4 linked regions of the Arabidopsis thaliana genome follow. The protein of the gene in region 4 purifies or fractionates together with the protein of the main gene of each other region. This does not show direct contact. Each region holds a gene or a part of one and is shown on either strand. Other genes may lie near its edges.

The links.
Region 1: the proteins of iPGAM1 (region 4) and AT4G11120 fractionate together in Arabidopsis thaliana (co-fractionation; one large-scale study listed by BioGRID). This does not show direct contact.
Region 2: the proteins of iPGAM1 (region 4) and IMD1 fractionate together in Arabidopsis thaliana (co-fractionation; one large-scale study listed by BioGRID). This does not show direct contact.
Region 3: the proteins of iPGAM1 (region 4) and AT3G02860 fractionate together in Arabidopsis thaliana (co-fractionation; one large-scale study listed by BioGRID). This does not show direct contact.

The regions. Positions count from the first base shown.
Region 1 is NC_003075.7:6,776,195-6,780,769, forward strand, and holds AT4G11120 (translation elongation factor Ts (EF-Ts)), read left to right. Parts: upstream 1-1,557; 5' UTR 1,558-1,656; intron 1,657-1,848; 5' UTR 1,849-1,871; coding exon 1,872-2,181; intron 2,182-2,269; coding exon 2,270-2,442; intron 2,443-2,539; coding exon 2,540-2,629; intron 2,630-2,760; coding exon 2,761-2,935; intron 2,936-3,029; coding exon 3,030-3,214; intron 3,215-3,311; coding exon 3,312-3,437; intron 3,438-3,528; coding exon 3,529-3,617; intron 3,618-3,700; coding exon 3,701-3,740; 3' UTR 3,741-4,049; downstream 4,050-4,575. Other genes in the region: SPA2 (SPA1-related 2), read left to right, coding at 290-481; RDR2 (RNA-dependent RNA polymerase 2), read left to right, coding at 4,328-4,575. UniProt on the Arabidopsis thaliana protein: Associates with the EF-Tu.GDP complex and induces the exchange of GDP to GTP. It remains bound to the aminoacyl-tRNA.EF-Tu.GTP complex up to the GTP hydrolysis stage on the ribosome.
Region 2 is NC_003076.8:4,574,612-4,578,950, forward strand, and holds IMD1 (isopropylmalate dehydrogenase 1), read left to right. Parts: upstream 1-1,511; 5' UTR 1,512-1,608; coding exon 1,609-1,837; intron 1,838-1,924; coding exon 1,925-2,054; intron 2,055-2,134; coding exon 2,135-2,246; intron 2,247-2,330; coding exon 2,331-2,495; intron 2,496-2,572; coding exon 2,573-2,659; intron 2,660-2,737; coding exon 2,738-2,854; coding exon of another isoform or gene 2,855-2,856; intron 2,857-2,943; coding exon 2,944-3,051; intron 3,052-3,132; coding exon 3,133-3,339; coding exon of another isoform or gene 3,340-3,351; exon of another isoform or gene 3,352-3,425; coding exon 3,426-3,500; 3' UTR 3,501-3,791; downstream 3,792-4,339. Other genes in the region: AT5G14210 (Leucine-rich repeat protein kinase family protein), read right to left, coding at 3,892-4,116, 4,214-4,325. UniProt on the Arabidopsis thaliana protein: Involved in both glucosinolate and leucine biosynthesis; catalyzes the oxidative decarboxylation step in both leucine biosynthesis (primary metabolism) and methionine chain elongation of glucosinolates (specialized metabolism).
Region 3 is NC_003074.8:624,656-629,243, reverse strand, and holds AT3G02860 (zinc ion binding protein), read left to right. Parts: upstream 1-1,876; 5' UTR 1,877-2,086; coding exon 2,087-2,175; intron 2,176-2,310; coding exon 2,311-2,410; intron 2,411-2,609; coding exon 2,610-2,769; intron 2,770-2,962; coding exon 2,963-3,245; intron 3,246-3,439; coding exon 3,440-3,515; intron 3,516-3,609; coding exon 3,610-3,656; intron 3,657-3,758; coding exon 3,759-3,945; 3' UTR 3,946-4,081; downstream 4,082-4,588. Other genes in the region: VTC4 (Inositol monophosphatase family protein), read left to right, coding at 1-54, 139-242, 340-424, 566-620, 754-797, 886-954, 1,045-1,145, 1,257-1,313 and 1 more. UniProt on the Arabidopsis thaliana protein: Essential for breaking seed dormancy before seed germination. Prevents reactive oxygen species (ROS) accumulation in response to abscisic acid (ABA) and oxidative stress, probably by repressing the accumulation of ABA-induced ROS-scavenging enzymes (e.g.
Region 4 is NC_003070.9:3,164,825-3,169,679, reverse strand, and holds iPGAM1 (Phosphoglycerate mutase, 2,3-bisphosphoglycerate-independent), read left to right. Parts: upstream 1-1,755; 5' UTR 1,756-1,867; coding exon 1,868-2,026; intron 2,027-2,098; coding exon 2,099-2,377; intron 2,378-2,468; coding exon 2,469-3,097; intron 3,098-3,263; coding exon 3,264-3,456; intron 3,457-3,545; coding exon 3,546-3,641; intron 3,642-3,726; coding exon 3,727-3,882; intron 3,883-3,968; coding exon 3,969-4,130; 3' UTR 4,131-4,310; downstream 4,311-4,855. Other genes in the region: COBL6 (COBRA-like protein 6 precursor), read left to right, coding at 1-91, 209-353, 446-726, 811-1,112; CDC5 (cell division cycle 5), read right to left, coding at 4,558-4,855. UniProt on the Arabidopsis thaliana protein: Catalyzes the interconversion of 2-phosphoglycerate (2-PGA) and 3-phosphoglycerate (3-PGA). Required for guard cell function (e.g. blue light-, abscisic acid- (ABA), and low CO(2)-regulated stomatal movements) and fertility (e.g. pollen grains production).

The sequences.
Region 1 (4,575 bases), on a different chromosome or scaffold from region 4:
ATAACTTTGTGTATGGAATCTCCTTTTCTATAATCCTTTAACAAGCATTGCCACAGATTGATAGTTTGATTCTCAACTTAACTAGAAGCTCCAGAGTTTATTTCATGTGATGGAAAAAATCACAGTTCCATGTGAATTCCGTCTATTTATACGCGATGGAGGAACTTATCCATTGATACTAACAATTAGTAAAATAACTGGCGTAGGGTCAAAAAAGAACTAATCTGGTAGTATTGTTGTTTAAGTGATCTCTCTGATTGAGAAATATGCTGTTTCTTGTTTTGTTCAGGTTTATGCCTATCACCGGTCTCTTCCCATGCCAATTACCTCGTACAAGTTTGGTTCTATTGATCCAATATCAGGTAAGGAGATAGAGGAGGACAACAACCTGTTCGTTTCAAGCGTTTGCTGGAGAAAAAGATCGAATATGGTTGTTTCAGCTAGCTCAAATGGGTCAATCAAAGTTCTACAGTTGGTCTGAAATAAATACATACATACAGAAGAAGCTGAGGTAATTCTACACCTAGAGCCCTCTTGGTTTATGGTAAAACAAAAACCCCATCAATCCAAGAATCAGGCAAAACAACGGAGATAACGAACAAGCTTTCAACACACAGATATGAGATAGTTTTATCTATCTGTTGCTAAAGTTTTCCTCAAATGGGGTGAAGGAATGAGAGTGAGTAGAACTATAGTTGTTCAATAGTTGCGGTTTGATCAGCGCGGTAAGGGTTTATACCGCTGATGGGTATACATAGTAAGGTAAAAGACCTTCTCTTTTGTGGTGTTCTAAGGTGTTTATTTTTTTATTTTTTATTTTGGCTCTTACAATAAGATTCCTCTTTGTGATATGTAAATTTGCTCCGATAGTTCTAAGGTAAAAGAGCATACTCTGATGTATATATAGTTGAAATGAGCTTTTTAGTTCTACGGATGAATCTCCTCCACCAAGAAAAGAAAAATCTTCGTTTTTCTTTTTAAAAACTTTAAATGCATCGTTTTTTGTTGAATGTTCACAAAAGTAATCTTTGAAATGCTTTATCATTGTACATAGCTTAGGACTGAATCAGCGTAATAACGTTATCAAGGTTTCTTGCTCAATCAAGCTGCTCCAACTTGTTTATGGTCTTCTTCACTTGGTACTGAAAACTTTTTTACTTTCTGAGACAAACAACAACAGAAGATGAATCAAGGCCTTGCTCAATCTAAGATCAAGCTGTCTTACATCTATGAGAAAGACTTAAGAATCACAAAGAAGAATTCATAGTGAACTAGTGAAGCATGCCATATGGAAAAACAATTGTTCAAAAACTCCAATTGAGGAAATGTTGGAAAAAGAAAAGAACAAACCTTAGATAGAACACATTCTCAGAGAGATTGCAGTAGAATTAGACATTTCTCTTGATCGAATTTCGATTCCGAAACACAATTGAGAAGATTCACAGCTTCTTGTCGTCAAATTGGTAGGGGAAGCTTTTTCTCCATTATCATAAACCCTAAACTAAAAGTTTCTGCAAAAACAACTATTTTATCGAACTCTTAATGGGCCATCAATGGGCCCATACTTATAAACTTAAACCCTTTTCCAATTTCAGTCGTATTTTACAAAAACCATCACCGTCGTTATCACAGTAACCAAACAACTTTCATCGCCGGGTAAGCTCCATTCCCAAGCTATTTCGATCTCGTTTCACGTCGATCTATTTCTAGTCAAGTTAATCTCTTCTTTTAGGGTTTAATTAGTTAAGACTTGCGTTTGATTATCTCAAGTTCAGAATTTGTTTCTTGATGATCTAAAGGAAGGAATTTTATACTTATCAAATTGAGGATTTTTGTTTTTGGATGCAGAGAACTGATTAACATATAAGAAAATGGCGTTTGCTAGAGCAGTGAGAAGACCAATTGGAGTCTTTTATTATAGTGTTAGTAGTAGATTTAGTTCTGGAAATGAGTATTCTACTGTGGCAAGCAAATTCGAAACTTTGTCTCAGTACAAAAGCTCTGTACCGTCTGGTTACACAAGCCTTGTTCGTGGTTTTGGGAATTTCATACGGAGTTTTAGTTCGGAAGCTCCTCCTGCTGTATCTGACCAAATGAGTCTTATTAAGCAACTTAGGGAAAGAACTAGTGCTCCTATTAAAGATGTTAAGGCTTCTTTAGTTGAATGCAATTGGGATCTTGGTAAGAATTTGGTTTAGGTTTTTTGTTTTGGTGAAGGTTGTGTATGTTTTGTTGTGTTTTGAAGTGGGTTTTTTTGGATTTGACACAGAGGCTGCTCAGAAGGATTTGAGAAAGAGAGGGAAAGTTTTGGCTTCGAAAAAGTCGTCACGGACTGCTGCAGAAGGAATGCTTGCCGTTGCTCAAAATGAAGGGAAAGTTGCTGTTATTGAACTTAACTGTGAGACTGATTTTGTTGCTAGGAATGAGATTTTCCAGTACTTGGTTAGTCCCATAGCAATTTCACATTGGTTGTTGCTGAATGATGGGCTTTTTGTTTATTTTACTGTTCCTTGTCTTCTAAAATTGACATGTCTTGCAGGCTTTAGCTATGGCAAAACATGCTTTGCTGGTTGAGAGTAGTTCGCAGCAAGTTTCTGGTGTCTTCCCCTTTGGGCCGGAGCTTTTTGAGGTCAGTTTTTTATGTACTCGCTTGTTTCCTTTTTTGTTATTTAAATTTATGGATTTATGTTGTTTCCTTTGCACTGTCTGAGATATTGATATCAACTTTTCATTTCTAATCACTCTAATGGATGCTATCAGGAGTTCAAGCTTAACCTCGATCATCCAAAAGTTAATGGTGAAACAACGGTTTCAAACGCTGTTACAGAAGTAGCTGCAATCATGGGAGAGAATGTAAAATTTAGGAGAGGTTTCTTGATGTCAAAATCTTCAGCAGGCGTCCTTTCTGCATATCTTCACACAAGTCCTCAACCAGGTACAATTTGTTCAATATACTTCCCATTGTTTCTAATCTCTTTTTTTATGATATTTCTGTGCATTTCTAACTTTAAAAAAAAAAATGAGAATAGGGTTGGGTCGTATAGCTGGGATTGTATCTCTCGAAGTAGAAGGTGAAAATACTCAACTAGAGGCTATTCAGCGTGTAGGCTCAGAACTGGCTATGCATGTTGTAGCAGCAAAGCCTTTGTTTTTAAGCAAAGACCTTGTTTCTTCTGAAGCAATGGCAAATGAACGCGAGATTCTAAAGTCTCAGGTTAGTGTCACTTTATGTTATGAAATTGAACTGTAATTTGTAAAAAGTACACAACCTGCGTTAGAAAAGTTTGCTTATCAAATGTTGTATATGACAGGCAGAAAGTACAGGCAAGAATCAGATGGCGATAGAGAAGATTGTGGAAGGGCGTCTCCGTAAGTATTTTGAAGAAGTTGCTCTAATGGAGCAAAAGTTTATTGTGAACGATGCTATAAACATTAAGGTATGTGGGTCTTAGCTTAAAACACCTAGTTTACCGTTTTATTACCTCTGCATCGCTTGTTGAATTCAACTCTTGGGCTCCTATTCCACAGACACTGGTGGATAATTTGTCCAAGGAGGTAGGTTCTCCAGTGAAGGTTACCGATTTTCTTAGAGTCGAGGTTGGGGAAGGAATCGAAAGGTAAACTAACCGTCACCCGTATGTCCAGTACGGCTTATCATTGTTGTAAGATTAGTCGCTTATGAATTTTGTTTTTTTTGAAGGCTTGAAGCATCTGATGAACCAGTTGCTCAAACTGCTTGAAGACAAAGAATCAACGACATGGTTTTAGATTTACAGAACTCTTTCCTTCTTTGGTTCCTTTAGAGTTCATGGCTTCAACGCCTTCTTGAGATTATAGAATCTTTCTCATGATTTTGTTTCTCACACAATATGGCAATAAGAGTGATTGTGCCTAGGAAGCTATGACCAGAAAAAAAAAACATGTTTGTGTTCTCCTACTCCTACTAAGATCATTATACAAAAACCTTCACTTATGTGTTTGATTTTAAGGTACTCAAGTATTTGAATAAGCAGATAGTGAGTTCTTGGCTCCTCCGGTTACCAACGGTCGAAATTGACGGTTTAATATAATTCATAGACAAAACCGGTCAACTTTATATTATCCACAATCAACGATCAAGATCAACGAGAACTAATCTTACGGTTGATATCATACATCTGTATTGAGTTACAGTACACCACAAAACACTCAATAAACACTAAGCACTCTTCTTCTACCTTTTGATTTTCGAAAAACGCAAACTTTCTGAAAAAGCAAAAACTTCTGATTCTCTCGAGAATCATTTACTCTTCACACTGTCCCCGTCTCTCTTTCTCTTGGGTTAATCATGGTGTCAGAGACGACGACGAACCGATCAACGGTTAAAATCTCAAACGTTCCTCAAACCATAGTCGCCGACGAACTCCTCCGGTTCTTAGAACTCCACCTCGGCGAAGATACTGTATTCGCACTCGAAATCCCAACAACTCGTGACAATTGGAAGCCAAGAGACTTCGCTCGAGTACAATTCACTACCCTCGAAGTCAAATCTCGAGCCCAGCTTCTCTCTTCTCAAAGCAAGCTCCTTTTCAAAAC
Region 2 (4,339 bases), on a different chromosome or scaffold from region 4:
AGAATTGAATCATGCACAAAAAATAAGACAAGCATTTATGAATAGTTTCTAGAAGTGGTGAATCATCCACTGCTATCGTCGATACAACATTTACTAAAGTTTCTATATATAAGTGGAGGGATGATCAGTGTGACCATGCCATGATTTCTAACTTTTTTGAGAGAGCGAGGTTATTATGATAAACATTTAAAATAATACGTGGAACTGAGATGAATGGAAAATAATCTTTATAAAAGAGAAAAAAAAAAATAGAAGATCTCATGATAATAAAAGTACTTCCATATGTTTTCAATGTGAAGAAAAGAATAGTAAAGGAGATACATCCAATAGCTTAGTCTAGAAAAGAGCTGACTAATTTTTTTTAAAAACAAGATCTCTGGTTTGTATATTTGTATCGATTACACAGCCTAGATATATAAAACACAAAACTTGATGGAGACAATTTCATATCCTATATATACACATTAATTTAATGAGTGAATAGTAATAGCAACTAGCAAGGCAATCTAAACAAAATTAAGAAAAGAAAAATGTTAAATTCCTGAGATCTATAATAACTCATAAGCAAAAAATATATTTAAAAAAATCATACAAATGTTGTAATAATATCATTTTGTTTTAATGTGGAGTGATAAAAAGAAGATAGGACGAAAGAAGAAACTGTTAAAGGCGATTGTAGATGCTGTAGGGACGGATAAATGGACTATGACATCAGTTTCCGTTACTTGTTTCTTCTCGAACTCAAAGAAGAAAGAAAAAAAAAAAAAAAATTCTACATCGGTACGCTTTCGTTTCACACCCTGCATGCACACAGTGTCCGGTAGTCAAAAATACAAAAAAAAGAAAAAAAACCTCGAGACATGCTAAATTTGGATAATGATTAATAATTTGGGGGTACACAATGTTCCAAATAATTTATATACAAAGTCTTGCTTTCATATTATTTGTGTGTCCACACTTCAACAATATAGTATTATACTATTATCCCTATCCCCTATGAAGTATGAACACACTTTTTATGATACGTATCATATTCAGAAAACATCAAAAATTGGTCATAACTCTCACGTGGTGTGGTGGATTTGCCTCGCCTTTCGTTTCTGTTTTTTGCAAATATTTAAGAATCTTTGGTCATTTAGGCTTTAATTTAGTTACTTTAAATTTATTTTTGTTATAGAAGTATTATGTTAAAAACAGTTCGTGTTCATCCTTGGACTAACCAGACGATTTGACAAAATCCGAATATCCGATCATAAAATTAAATAATCAGCCGTTATTGTTCCTCTACTACTACGTTTTAACTTTTAAGAACTTCTCCTGGTACTTTGATGGGCTATAAGAGCGGCCCAATATTTCGACTTTAAAATGGGCCAATCTTTGGTAAAGGCCCAATTATAGTGGCGCTTCTTCTTCTTCTTTTCCTAAACAAGCAATGGCATGGTTTAGCTGGTGAGCCAGTTTATAGGTAAAAAGGATAATTTAAGCCATTTAAAAAAACAAATCTTTAATGGCGTAATTCAAAAAACGTGCACACCTATCTAAGTACCAAACTCTTTATGTTATATAACTATTGTGACACAATTTCAAATTTGCTAACTCCCAAAAAAAATGGCGGCGTTTTTGCAAACGAACATCAGTCTGAATGCGATCAAGATCGTCCCGGGGAAATACAGTTCTCTCACCGATCATCAGTTTCGTGCGCCGTATCGAATTAGGTGCGCCGCCGCTTCACCTGGGAAAAAACGGTATAACATCGCTCTGCTTCCCGGAGACGGTATCGGTCCAGAAGTTATCTCTGTTGCTAAGAATGTGCTTCAGAAAGCTGGATCTCTCGAAGGTTCTTTCTCTTTCTCAATGGTTTTTGGAAACAACGAGTGTGTTTGCTTAGCCAGTAGATGATTGTGTCTTTGCTTTTGTATCACAGGACTGGAGTTTGATTTCAAGGAGATGCCTGTCGGAGGAGCAGCCTTGGATTTGGTTGGAGTTCCATTGCCGGAGGAAACTTTCACGGCTGCAAAACTATCTGATGCCATTCTTCTTGGAGCTATTGGAGGGTATGTGTGTGAGTGCTGTTTCTTTAGCAATCTGCTTCCAAATTTATTCTGATCTTGAGGTTTGGATGATTATTGTTCAGGTACAAATGGGACAAGAATGAGAAACATCTGAGACCTGAGATGGCTCTGTTTTACCTTAGAAGAGATCTCAAAGTCTTTGCTAATTTGAGACCTGCTACAGTTTTGCCACAGGTATCTTCGGTTTTGATTTGCTTAGCACTTGAATTTTGCTTCTAGTTGTAAATAAACTCAAATGTTTCTGTTTTGCTTGTTCAGCTAGTTGATGCTTCCACACTGAAGAAAGAAGTAGCAGAAGGTGTTGATATGATGATTGTTAGGGAGCTCACAGGAGGTATTTACTTTGGAGAGCCAAGAGGCATTACGATCAATGAAAATGGCGAAGAAGTCGGCGTTAGTACAGAGATCTACGCTGCTCACGAGGTAATAACCCTTCACACTGTGCTCTGTGACAATATTGGCAATGTATGGATATTAATGCATTGATTTATGTTCTTCAGATTGACAGAATTGCTCGTGTAGCATTCGAGACTGCTAGGAAAAGGCGTGGCAAACTTTGTTCTGTTGACAAAGCCAATGTGTTGGATGTACGTTCTGTTAGTTCACTGAATTGTTTTTCCACTTTTGTGTGTTTTACGAAATGCAAATTTCTTTGTTTCATGTAGGCATCAATATTGTGGAGGAAAAGAGTAACAGCTTTAGCCTCTGAATATCCAGATGTTGAACTATCACATATGTATGTCGATAATGCTGCAATGCAGCTTATTCGTGACCCGAAACAGGTGCTTCTCGCACATATATCAAACTTAGTCGTTGATTAAGCTAACTCAGAAGTGGAACTAGTACTCACGGTGTTTTTAAAACAATGCAGTTTGACACAATCGTTACCAATAACATTTTTGGTGATATATTGTCTGATGAAGCTTCAATGATCACTGGAAGCATTGGAATGCTTCCATCTGCTAGTCTCGGTGAATCGGTAAACAAAATTAACTAACATCTTTCAAGGCTCCTCCTGTTTATAAACTAATGCGAAATGTTAAACTTGTGATGAAATCAGGGACCTGGACTCTTTGAACCTATACATGGTTCAGCACCAGATATAGCTGGACAAGACAAGGCAAACCCATTGGCCACCATTCTCAGCGCGGCGATGCTTCTGAAGTATGGACTTGGAGAAGAAAAGGCTGCAAAGAGGATTGAAGACGCTGTCGTGGATGCTCTGAACAAAGGGTTCAGAACCGGAGACATCTACTCCCCTGGAAATGTATGTGCATGATGATTCTTATCATTTGTTTTGTACAAGTTCGTAACAAAATACTTAAAAAAGTCTTTTGTGTTTTGAAAATGCAGAAACTGGTGGGATGCAAGGAAATGGGTGAGGAGGTTCTCAAATCAGTGGAATCCAAAGTTCCAGCTACTGTTTAAGTTTATTGATGATTTGAAGCACTTGAAAAAGTTTGTGTAGCACTTGGTTTTACGGTCACTTATATGCTAATCCATGCAACATTGTACCTTTTATAATAAATAAATTATTTGGGATCGATTCTGCAATTCAAAGACAAGATTCTCCAAAAACATTTGACAGGTCTCCTGCCTTTACTTACCTTGTTCTTGAAGATTGAGAATTTCTCTTCAACTACAAGACTCAATATCTTCTTCAATCAATATTTGTTTAACGAAATAAGTTTCAAGAGAAGACAAGCTACTATGATTTTTAGTCTCAAGAGTCTTACATTTTTATACTGAAAACCAAACTTATAGAGCTTTACATTTAGAAAACCGAAAAAACTATCAATCATTAGGTTAGCCTTTGGATTCACGACGACGTATCAGATTTGCGTTCAGCGTCTGCGGCAGACTGCATTTGAGCTGCGTATTGTAAGTTCCAGAGAACATCTTCAAAGGAAGGTCTTGCGGAAGGTTCAAGCAAAACACATTTATTGGCGATTGAGATCGCAATCGATAAAGACTCCTGCGAGCTTGTTGTTAGGACTGTTGGACTTACTATTTTCTGCCGACCGTCTTGGCTCCCAAATGATGTCTGCAAACACAACATTGCAGCAACAGCTATTAACCAAATTTGTTTCAATCAAATAACAATGATGATGCTTTTTTTTTTTGCTTTTTCTCTTTGTTACCATTTCGTTGAGAAGAAAAGCCTCTCCTTTTGTAGTGGGCACTGGTCCTATCAGAGATTCCAGAAGTATGAATCCGAAGTTGTACACATCGTCCTCTCTTTTAGCCTTTTTCCTGCATAATCTCAA
Region 3 (4,588 bases), on a different chromosome or scaffold from region 4:
GGATGTGAAGAACTTGTGTTTAATCATCTCAAGCAGCTCTTTCCCAATCACAAGGTGGTGATTATTTCTTCTTTTGAATTCCCATTTTGTTGGCTTCTTCCTCGCGTTGATCATTAGAGTTTTGCTATAATTTATTAGTTCATAGGAGAAGAAACTACAGCTGCATTTGGTGTGACAGAACTAACTGACGAACCAACTTGGATTGTTGATCCTCTTGATGGAACAACCAATTTCGTTCACGGGTATTATCATTATTGATCAATTCCCATTTGAATGACCTGTGTGTTTCATTTGCCCATTTCATCAAAAACAAAAACAAATGCTGTTTTTTTTTTGTAGGTTCCCTTTCGTGTGTGTTTCCATTGGACTTACGATTGGAAAAGTCCCTGTTGTTGGAGTTGTTTATAATCCTATTATGGAAGAGGTAAAAGATTGTGTATTCCATTGTTTCAAGTTTCTTCGATCGTTACAACTTACCATTATACATAGTTTCCTTGATGGTGCTCTGTACATGCATGTTTCAAGATTTTTCTCAATTCTTACATAATATCTAATGATCAAACAGCTATTCACCGGTGTCCAAGGGAAAGGAGCATTCTTGAATGGAAAGCGAATCAAAGGTTAGCACTTGTTCTAGAGACCTAATAAAAAATTTCTTGATCTCTTTTTATGGCATCCGGAGTATAGCTATCACTTGTTCAGAGACTTGAGTTCTCTTCCTTCTTTTCAACTCAAACAATGTTCTTTTTGCAGTGTCAGCTCAAAGCGAACTTTTAACCGCTTTGCTCGTGACAGAGGTAAAAATCTGGCTCCTTTGTGTTAGACTACTAAAACTAGATTGCTATGAAGCCTCCTCTCATCGCTAATGTGACCAATTGAATATAGGCGGGTACTAAACGAGATAAAGCTACATTAGACGATACAACCAACAGAATCAACAGTTTGCTAACCAAGGTAAAAGTTTATCGATAGATATTTGGAACTCCACCAATTTGGTTCTAGTCTCTGCCAAAACTCATGATTGTTGTGTCCTTCATTCATCAGGTCAGGTCCCTTAGGATGAGTGGTTCGTGTGCACTGGACCTCTGTGGCGTTGCGTGTGGAAGGGTTGATATCTTCTACGAGCTCGGTTTCGGTGGTCCATGGTAAATTGTCTTCTTTTTTTTTTCCTTGCTTGGATTAAAAAAGGGGATTTCTTTCTTGTACAAACAAAATTAGATCCTGATGATGGCATAATAATATCAAATCTTTCACAGGGACATTGCAGCAGGAATTGTTATCGTGAAAGAAGCTGGTGGACTCATCTTTGATCCGTAAGAGTTTGAGATTAAACCAAACACACTCACTCTCAAACCGTCCAACTGATTATAACTAACTGTTTTATGTCGTCTTTGTTCATCAGATCCGGTAAAGATTTGGACATAACATCGCAGAGGATCGCGGCTTCAAACGCTTCTCTCAAGGAGTTATTCGCTGAGGCGTTGCGGCTTACAGGGGCATGAAGTCATCTGTTATTATTTTACAATATGGTCTCAACCTTATATGATCAAACTCAATTCAAAAACTTAACATTATTGAATATTTCTTTTCGGTAGAAAGAAAACAAACTCAATTGTTGAGAAAAAAAAAAAACTATTTTCTTTCTGCTACCCTTTGTGAATTCAATTAAAAAAAAATCATATGTTTGGTATTGAATGATATAATTCTGTTCTTCCATGTAGTTGATCTTTGTAATCGAGTTTGCATTTTTTTTTTTTTTATAAAAGGTGGAGTTTAAGGTATTTTGTGATCCATACTAAATTAACAACAGAGGAAAATGGGGATAATGAGTCCGGCCCAGTTACGACTAACGACCCAGAAGCATCCCGAAAGTCTCAAGTCTAATCCCGAGTTGGATCGACCCGACCCGTAAAAGAGAAGAGATTGCGGAGAAGAACGGAGGGAGGAATTTTGATTCTCACGGTGACTGTTGTCCTCCTCTAAGGACTTAGGGTTTGATTTGAATAGAACAAATTTCTCAGATCTTCGTATTCCTTGCGAGGTTGTGATAATTTGGGAGTTGCGTGGGTTGCTACGAAGGAGAGTGATGGATGCTCAAGCGAAGAAGAAGGCCATGTTCCGGTCTAAACTCAACGCCAAGAAGAAAGACACCCGCATAGATTCTCCTCTCGTTAGGTAAACCGTTGTTAGCTTCTTCTTCTCTTCGTTTCGATGTCACTTCTGGGTTTCTACAATTCCAAATATTTGTGGGTTCTGGGGATTGGGCTTGAGCTGTAGTTGGGATGAAGAGTTTGTTCTTTGGATTTGTAGGTACAACGAATCAGACCAGCCTGTGTGTCGAGTTTGCAATGTCGTCTTGAAATCTGAATCACTCTGGGATGTACATCAAGCTTCTCGTAAGCACCACGAGGTAAACTTAGTGTCTTCTGCTCCATAAGCTTTACTTCACAATCTCTTATAACCTGAGTAACAACAATGGGATATTTGATAAATTACATACATTGAAGATAGGTAGATTTCATGCTCTTATATGATTTTATGCGTTAGATTCTCTGTTTTATGTTCTTTAATCTTATTAACTTAGCTTTCGTAATGTAACGTTTGGACAGGCCATTGATAGTCTCAAGGCTAGTGCAGCGGGAGTCCAACGGGGTAGCAAACCTGCTGAAACTCGGCCAACGAAAATTGAAGCTTTGGCTAAATCATCCAATTCTCAGACATCATCTGGTCTTCCGCCAAATTTCTTCGAAAATCGTGAGCCTGCTAGAGGTAATGACTAATGCACTTTCCTCTTCTTGTTCTTATCTTTTTCGAATAATTTTCTTAGTAGAAGGCTTTTGGTTTAGGTGCTAGTTATGTGGATGCCATGCTTAAAGGCTCTAGTCTTAGGTTTTTTGAAAGATTGATGATAGTTTCATTCGTCAATCGAAAAAAAAAACTTATTGATCAAATATATGTGCAGCAGAAGTAGAACCAGCAAAATCCAAGAATTTAGAGCAATCAAAGCACACTATAGGATCTGAAACAAATAAGTCAAAGGGACCTCTTCCAGCCGGATTCTTTGATAATCAGAAAACTGATTCTTCAAATACCAAAACCACCAGTGAACCTAAACAGAGTCAGACACAGACCACTGGTCCAGAAACAAAACCAATGGTGAATGGAAACCTTCCAACCGGTTTTTTTGATAATAAAGAAGCTGACCTGCTTGCCCATGGAATCAAGCTCGTCAAACCAGATATCAAGTGAGTTTCTTCTCTTTTTTTTTTTGTTGCTTTTACTTTTCCAGATGCAGAAAATCAAAGTGAAACCTCATTGTTGTGGACCTTGTGATCCAGTTACTTTCCTACATTCTCAATTTGAATGGTTCATATGATCTTATGGGTTTGTACCTAAGAATTCTCTTCGTGAACTTATATAAACATGGATCTTCTTACAGGGATGAATATAAAGAATTTGAGAAGTTGATACAAGATGATTTGCAGGTAGTGGATAGCCGCATGGAAGAAGAAGAGGTCAGATAACTTTCTGTCACTATGATAAATTGCTGACAGTATCATAAGCTCTTTCTTAAACTTAAAATCGCTTTTCTCGCACTCTAATTGTCAGGTTGATGCTGCGGAAACTATAGAAGAGGAGGAACAACGAGAGCAAAGGTAATTTGATTCATTACTTTGTTATAGCAAGAAGATGGAAATGTTGAGACTTGTTTAAGATTAAGTAAACACTTGGCTTCTCCTTTTAATCTTATTCTGCAGATCATACAAAGAGAAAGTAGAGATTCTGAAGAGGAAGAAAATGGAACTTAAAGCGGCAAGATTAGCGAAGCGCAGTAAAACCTCTGAGGGGTCTGTTAAAAAGCCGAAGAAGACAGAAGAAGAATCGCCCAGCGATGAGGAGGATGACGAGGATTCTGCTGTTGATTGGAGAGCTCAACATCTTTGAATAAACTAGAAAAGACTGTTTAAAAATCTGTACCCTGGTAAAACATACAATGTTCTATGAGAATATACAGTGAAAACTAATCAATCTCATATATATACAATTATCAGTTTCAGAGGATCAATTGGTATTTGAGGTATAGTTATCGGTTAATGGGTATAATTCAAGAACGTAATTTTCATAACCAGAGTTGCCAAAAAGGCCGAAATATCTGGGGATGAAACCTGAAACTGTGGCAGTTCCGACCAGTTTCAGGTGATAAACTAAAAAAAAAAAAGTGATTATGACTGGTGGTCGTATCATTCTAGTTTTGAGTGAGAATGTTTCAGATATTGATCATTTGGTGGCACAAAACATAATGACGAAAGTGGTAAATTTAACAATCATCTTTAAAGTTAAAACTCTTATTATTGTTAAACAAATACATGTGGAATAATAAATAATTGAGACAATTCCAGAAACCAATTAGGGGTCAAATATGTCGAGAAACTAATTAGGGGTCAAGTATTGAAGAAGGAAGAAGACCACTAACTAAACATATTCATATTTTTTTGTGAATTTTTGGACTATTTGTGATTACCAACCATATGCTTATATAACTTATAAAAAAAATGCATTAGGCTTTCCACTATAAACCATTGACATT
Region 4 (4,855 bases):
GGGGTCCCGGGTTATAGCTGCGACAATGCTACATCCGTGTCCCCGACTAAGTTTAGTACTGATAAGGGCCGTCGCAAAACACAAGCTCTAGGTAACCAAAATTATATAAATTGCAATATAATTACAAAAAGAAGTTGAGAAATGTAGAAACATGTTATACATAGGTTTTTTGAGTTATGTAACATAAGATATGTGGTGTTGAGTGCAGCAACATGGGAGGCAGTGTGTGTATACTCGCAGTTTCGGTCATCACCATCGCCAAAATGCTGCGTTTCACTCTCTGCCTTCTACTACCAAAACATTGTTCCTTGTCCTACCTGTAGCTGCGGCTGCTCGAGTTCCCATTGTGTCAAGTAATTCACTTTTCTAAACCTTTCACTTTTTTTTGGATATAGATGTAACAACATGTATAATATATACTAGAGAGCAACATTTGATTGATCAGGGATGGAGAGTTGCCGCCATATCTTGAACAGAAACATGATCCAGATGAGGAAGTATCGCCTGTCGTGAAGTGTTCGGATCATATGTGTCCCATCCGCATCCACTGGCATGTGAAAGTGAACTATAGAGAGTATTGGAGGGTTAAGATCACAGCAACAAATTTCAACACAATGAAGAATTACACTAATTGGAACTTAGTGGTGCTTCATCCAAACTTGAAAAGCGTCCAACAAGTCTTTAGCTTTAACTACAAATCTTTGACACCATATCAAAACAGCATCAGTAAGGAAATTCTTTAAAAACCACACCATAGTCTCTTAGATTATTGGTCTAACATCACTTGTTCTTCGTGTGGTGTTATTTCAGATGACACAGGGATGTTTTGGGGAGTCCAGTTTTATAATGATGTTTTGCTTCAAGAAGGAAAGATTGGGAATGTTCAAACAGAGTTATTGCTGAAGAAGGATATGGGAAATTTCACTTTCAGAGAAGGTTGGGCTTTCCCAAGGAGAATCTTGTTCAATGGTGATGAATGTGTTATGCCTTCTCCAGATGACTTTCCAAGGCTGCCAAAATCTGCTCATTCCTCTTCGTCTTCCTCTGCTGTTATTAGCTCTGTTTCAGTCGTTTTCTGTTTTCTCCTTCATCATCTTCTTCTACTAGTTTGATGAGATTGTTTCTTTCATTTGAACCTACATTGTTCCATGCTTCTTTGACTTTTCCAAGAAACAAAGCCTCTAATAAAGCTTGCATCAAAAAGGATTAATATACAGTATTAGGATTTAGGAAGCATGTTCTGTGATGTCCATTCACATTTCTTGACCATTTGAGATTTAAAAGAACTAAGAATAAGGTAAGATATTTATGGTGTATTTATTAACCAATACACAAAGCCGGTTCGTCATATTGAAAGTTGAAACTAGTTATATATGGCCCACCATATCAAGCGGTGAAGTTCTATAAGTGGAAAGGAAAATTACTCTTACGAAGTCCTTGTAAACCAAGTAAATGAATAAGGCAATAGTACATGTATTCTAAGCTCTAATAAAATGGAAGTAAAGCAATATTTCTAAATTTTAATTGTTAAAAAAAGTTGAATGTCGCATTAAAATTATCACTCTTGTGAAAAAAAAAGAATAAAAGTTGAATGTCGCAATGTTTTTTTTTTGTTTTTTTCCTAAACATATAAATAACAAAATGGCATGTGTCATCACAATGTAAAATCTCATAAGAAAAATAAGGAAAAAGAATATTCGGAGCCAATAAGAATTTTATATTTACGTGAGAGACAAGTGGCCCAATTGACGGGCCCATATTGCAAAAACGCCTCTTTTTAAAACCCGCCTCTTCCTTCACACCAACCTTCACTTTTCTCTCAGATCTGCTTTGAGATTCTCCGATTGCATCTCAAAAAATCTCAGCTATGGCTACCTCCTCCGCTTGGAAGCTCGATGACCACCCCAAGCTCCCCAAGGGTAAGACCATCGCCGTAATCGTCTTAGATGGTTGGGGTGAATCTGCCCCTGATCAGTACAACTGTATCCACAACGCTCCAACTCCAGCCATGGATTCTCTTAAACATGTATGTTACCTCCTTAATCTTTGATTTTTGATGCTTTTTGGATTCATTGAACTTACTCTTGTTTCTCTATAGGGAGCTCCTGATACTTGGACTTTGATCAAAGCTCACGGTACTGCTGTAGGACTTCCTAGTGAAGATGATATGGGAAACAGTGAGGTTGGTCATAATGCTCTTGGTGCTGGTCGTATCTTTGCTCAAGGTGCTAAGCTTTGTGACCAAGCTCTTGCTTCTGGCAAAATCTTTGAAGGTGAAGGTTTTAAATACGTTTCTGAATCTTTCGAGACGAATACTTTGCATCTTGTTGGACTTCTCAGTGACGGTGGAGTTCACTCTCGTCTCGATCAACTACAGGTTTTGATTTGATATGTTCTTCATTATTTTGTTCAAATTCTGGTTTAATGTTTGTTGATGATTCCTTAAACTTGTTGTTGCTTTTGCGCAGTTGTTGATTAAAGGATCTGCTGAACGTGGTGCTAAGAGAATCAGAGTCCATATTCTTACTGATGGTCGTGATGTTTTGGATGGTTCTAGTGTTGGATTTGTGGAAACCCTTGAAGCCGACCTCGTTGCATTACGTGAGAATGGTGTGGATGCTCAGATTGCATCTGGTGGAGGACGTATGTATGTGACTTTGGACCGATATGAGAATGATTGGGAAGTTGTTAAAAGAGGTTGGGATGCTCAAGTTCTTGGAGAAGCTCCTCACAAATTCAAAAACGCTGTTGAAGCTGTGAAGACTTTGAGGAAAGAGCCTGGTGCTAATGACCAGTATTTGCCCCCGTTTGTGATTGTTGATGAATCAGGGAAAGCAGTTGGTCCGATTGTGGACGGTGATGCTGTTGTTACCTTCAACTTCAGGGCTGATCGTATGGTTATGCATGCTAAGGCACTTGAGTACGAAGATTTTGACAAATTTGACCGTGTGAGGTACCCAAAGATTCGTTATGCTGGTATGCTTCAGTATGATGGAGAGCTTAAGCTACCAAGCCGTTACCTTGTTTCTCCCCCGGAGATTGATAGAACATCTGGTGAATATTTGACTCACAATGGCGTCAGTACTTTTGCTTGCAGGTATTTCAACTTCTGTCCTTTTCTCACTTTGAGTAATGGTTATATGCTTTGTTTAGTATAGTTCCAGTTGCTTGCTCATTATAGGTCTATACTATGCTTTGCATTTTTGCCAATAGTGTATCACGCTTGAACTGATCATATATATTAATGTATGTGACTGAAACAGTGAGACCGTCAAGTTTGGGCATGTCACCTTCTTCTGGAATGGAAATCGATCTGGATATTTCAACGAGAAATTGGAGGAGTATGTTGAAATCCCAAGTGACAGTGGAATATCATTCAATGTCCAGCCAAAGATGAAAGCTCTGGAAATTGGTGAGAAGGCAAGGGATGCAATCCTTAGTGGCAAGTTTGATCAGGTGAGATGGATGCATAGTCTTATGATCTTATAATCGAACATCCCAGGAAATAAGCAGTGATCATCTTATGTTTCAATATTGATTTTCAGGTGCGAGTTAACATTCCAAATGGAGATATGGTGGGTCATACAGGTGATATTGAAGCCACGGTTGTTGCATGCGAGGCTGCTGATCTTGCTGTGAAGGTATGTTTTATAAGTTTATTGACAAGTCTTAATGATGATATGTGTGAGTGTGTGACTTAGCCCACAAATGGTTTGGTTGTTGCAGATGATTTTTGATGCAATCGAACAAGTGAAAGGAATTTATGTTGTGACTGCTGATCACGGAAACGCAGAGGACATGGTGAAGAGGGATAAATCTGGCAAGCCTGCTTTGGATAAGGAAGGGAAGCTTCAGATTCTAACCTCTCACACACTCAAGCCAGTAAGTCCATATCTGTAATCTGTGTTATTACCATAACATAAACCATTGGACCATATCTGATGGGAGATTGTAATTATTGTTTGTAGGTGCCAATTGCTATTGGAGGTCCTGGTTTGGCTCAAGGAGTGAGATTCCGTAAAGATCTGGAAACACCGGGGCTTGCAAATGTAGCTGCAACAGTGATGAACCTCCATGGATTTGTGGCTCCCTCTGACTATGAGCCCACCCTGATTGAAGTAGTGGAGTAGAAGAATTGAGAGCCTTATCAGTTTTTGAAGAGAGGGCTGAAACTCTCTAGTTATCTTTTGTTGCTTTTCTAATAATAAGAGTTTACACACAGACTACTTGTATTTTTGATTTTGGCTTTAGGCCAAAAACATTGAAATTCCATCTTGAATGATATGCAAGCTTTTTTCTTTCTCTCCCATACGATCTCTTCTAGCCAAGGATAAAATTTGCATTGAAAGAGAGGAGGATTAAACATCTTCAGATTGTACTTACATTTGGAACCAAATAGATCCTGAAGCATTCAAATTTCTTGACTCTTGCAAAGCATACAAACAGAGAATATATCATAACCTTTTTACAAAGTCATGACTCATATTAAAAAAACTTACCAATACAAAGTCAAGCTACGTCTCCTTAAAACTTGTAAGCAATACAAAACTCAAGTTTTTATGCAGAAGCTTCCATGGCTATGGCTATGTCCTCTTCCTCTCCAGTGGCTAGCTTAGCTTCTTTCAGTTTGTGAGAATCTTCAACATCCTCTTGTTTCTTCAATGCCTGTGCTCGGAAACCGACCATTATCTCCTCTGCTTTTTCAACCATTGCCAACATATTCCCATAGCGAGTCTGCAGTTTACTCTCTGTTTCCTTTTGCTTTATCACTTCCTCTTGCAAATTCTTTTTCCTAAAAGATGCAGCCATCTCTTCTTGCCTCTTCAATGCTTTAAAGCACTCTACTTCTGTTCCA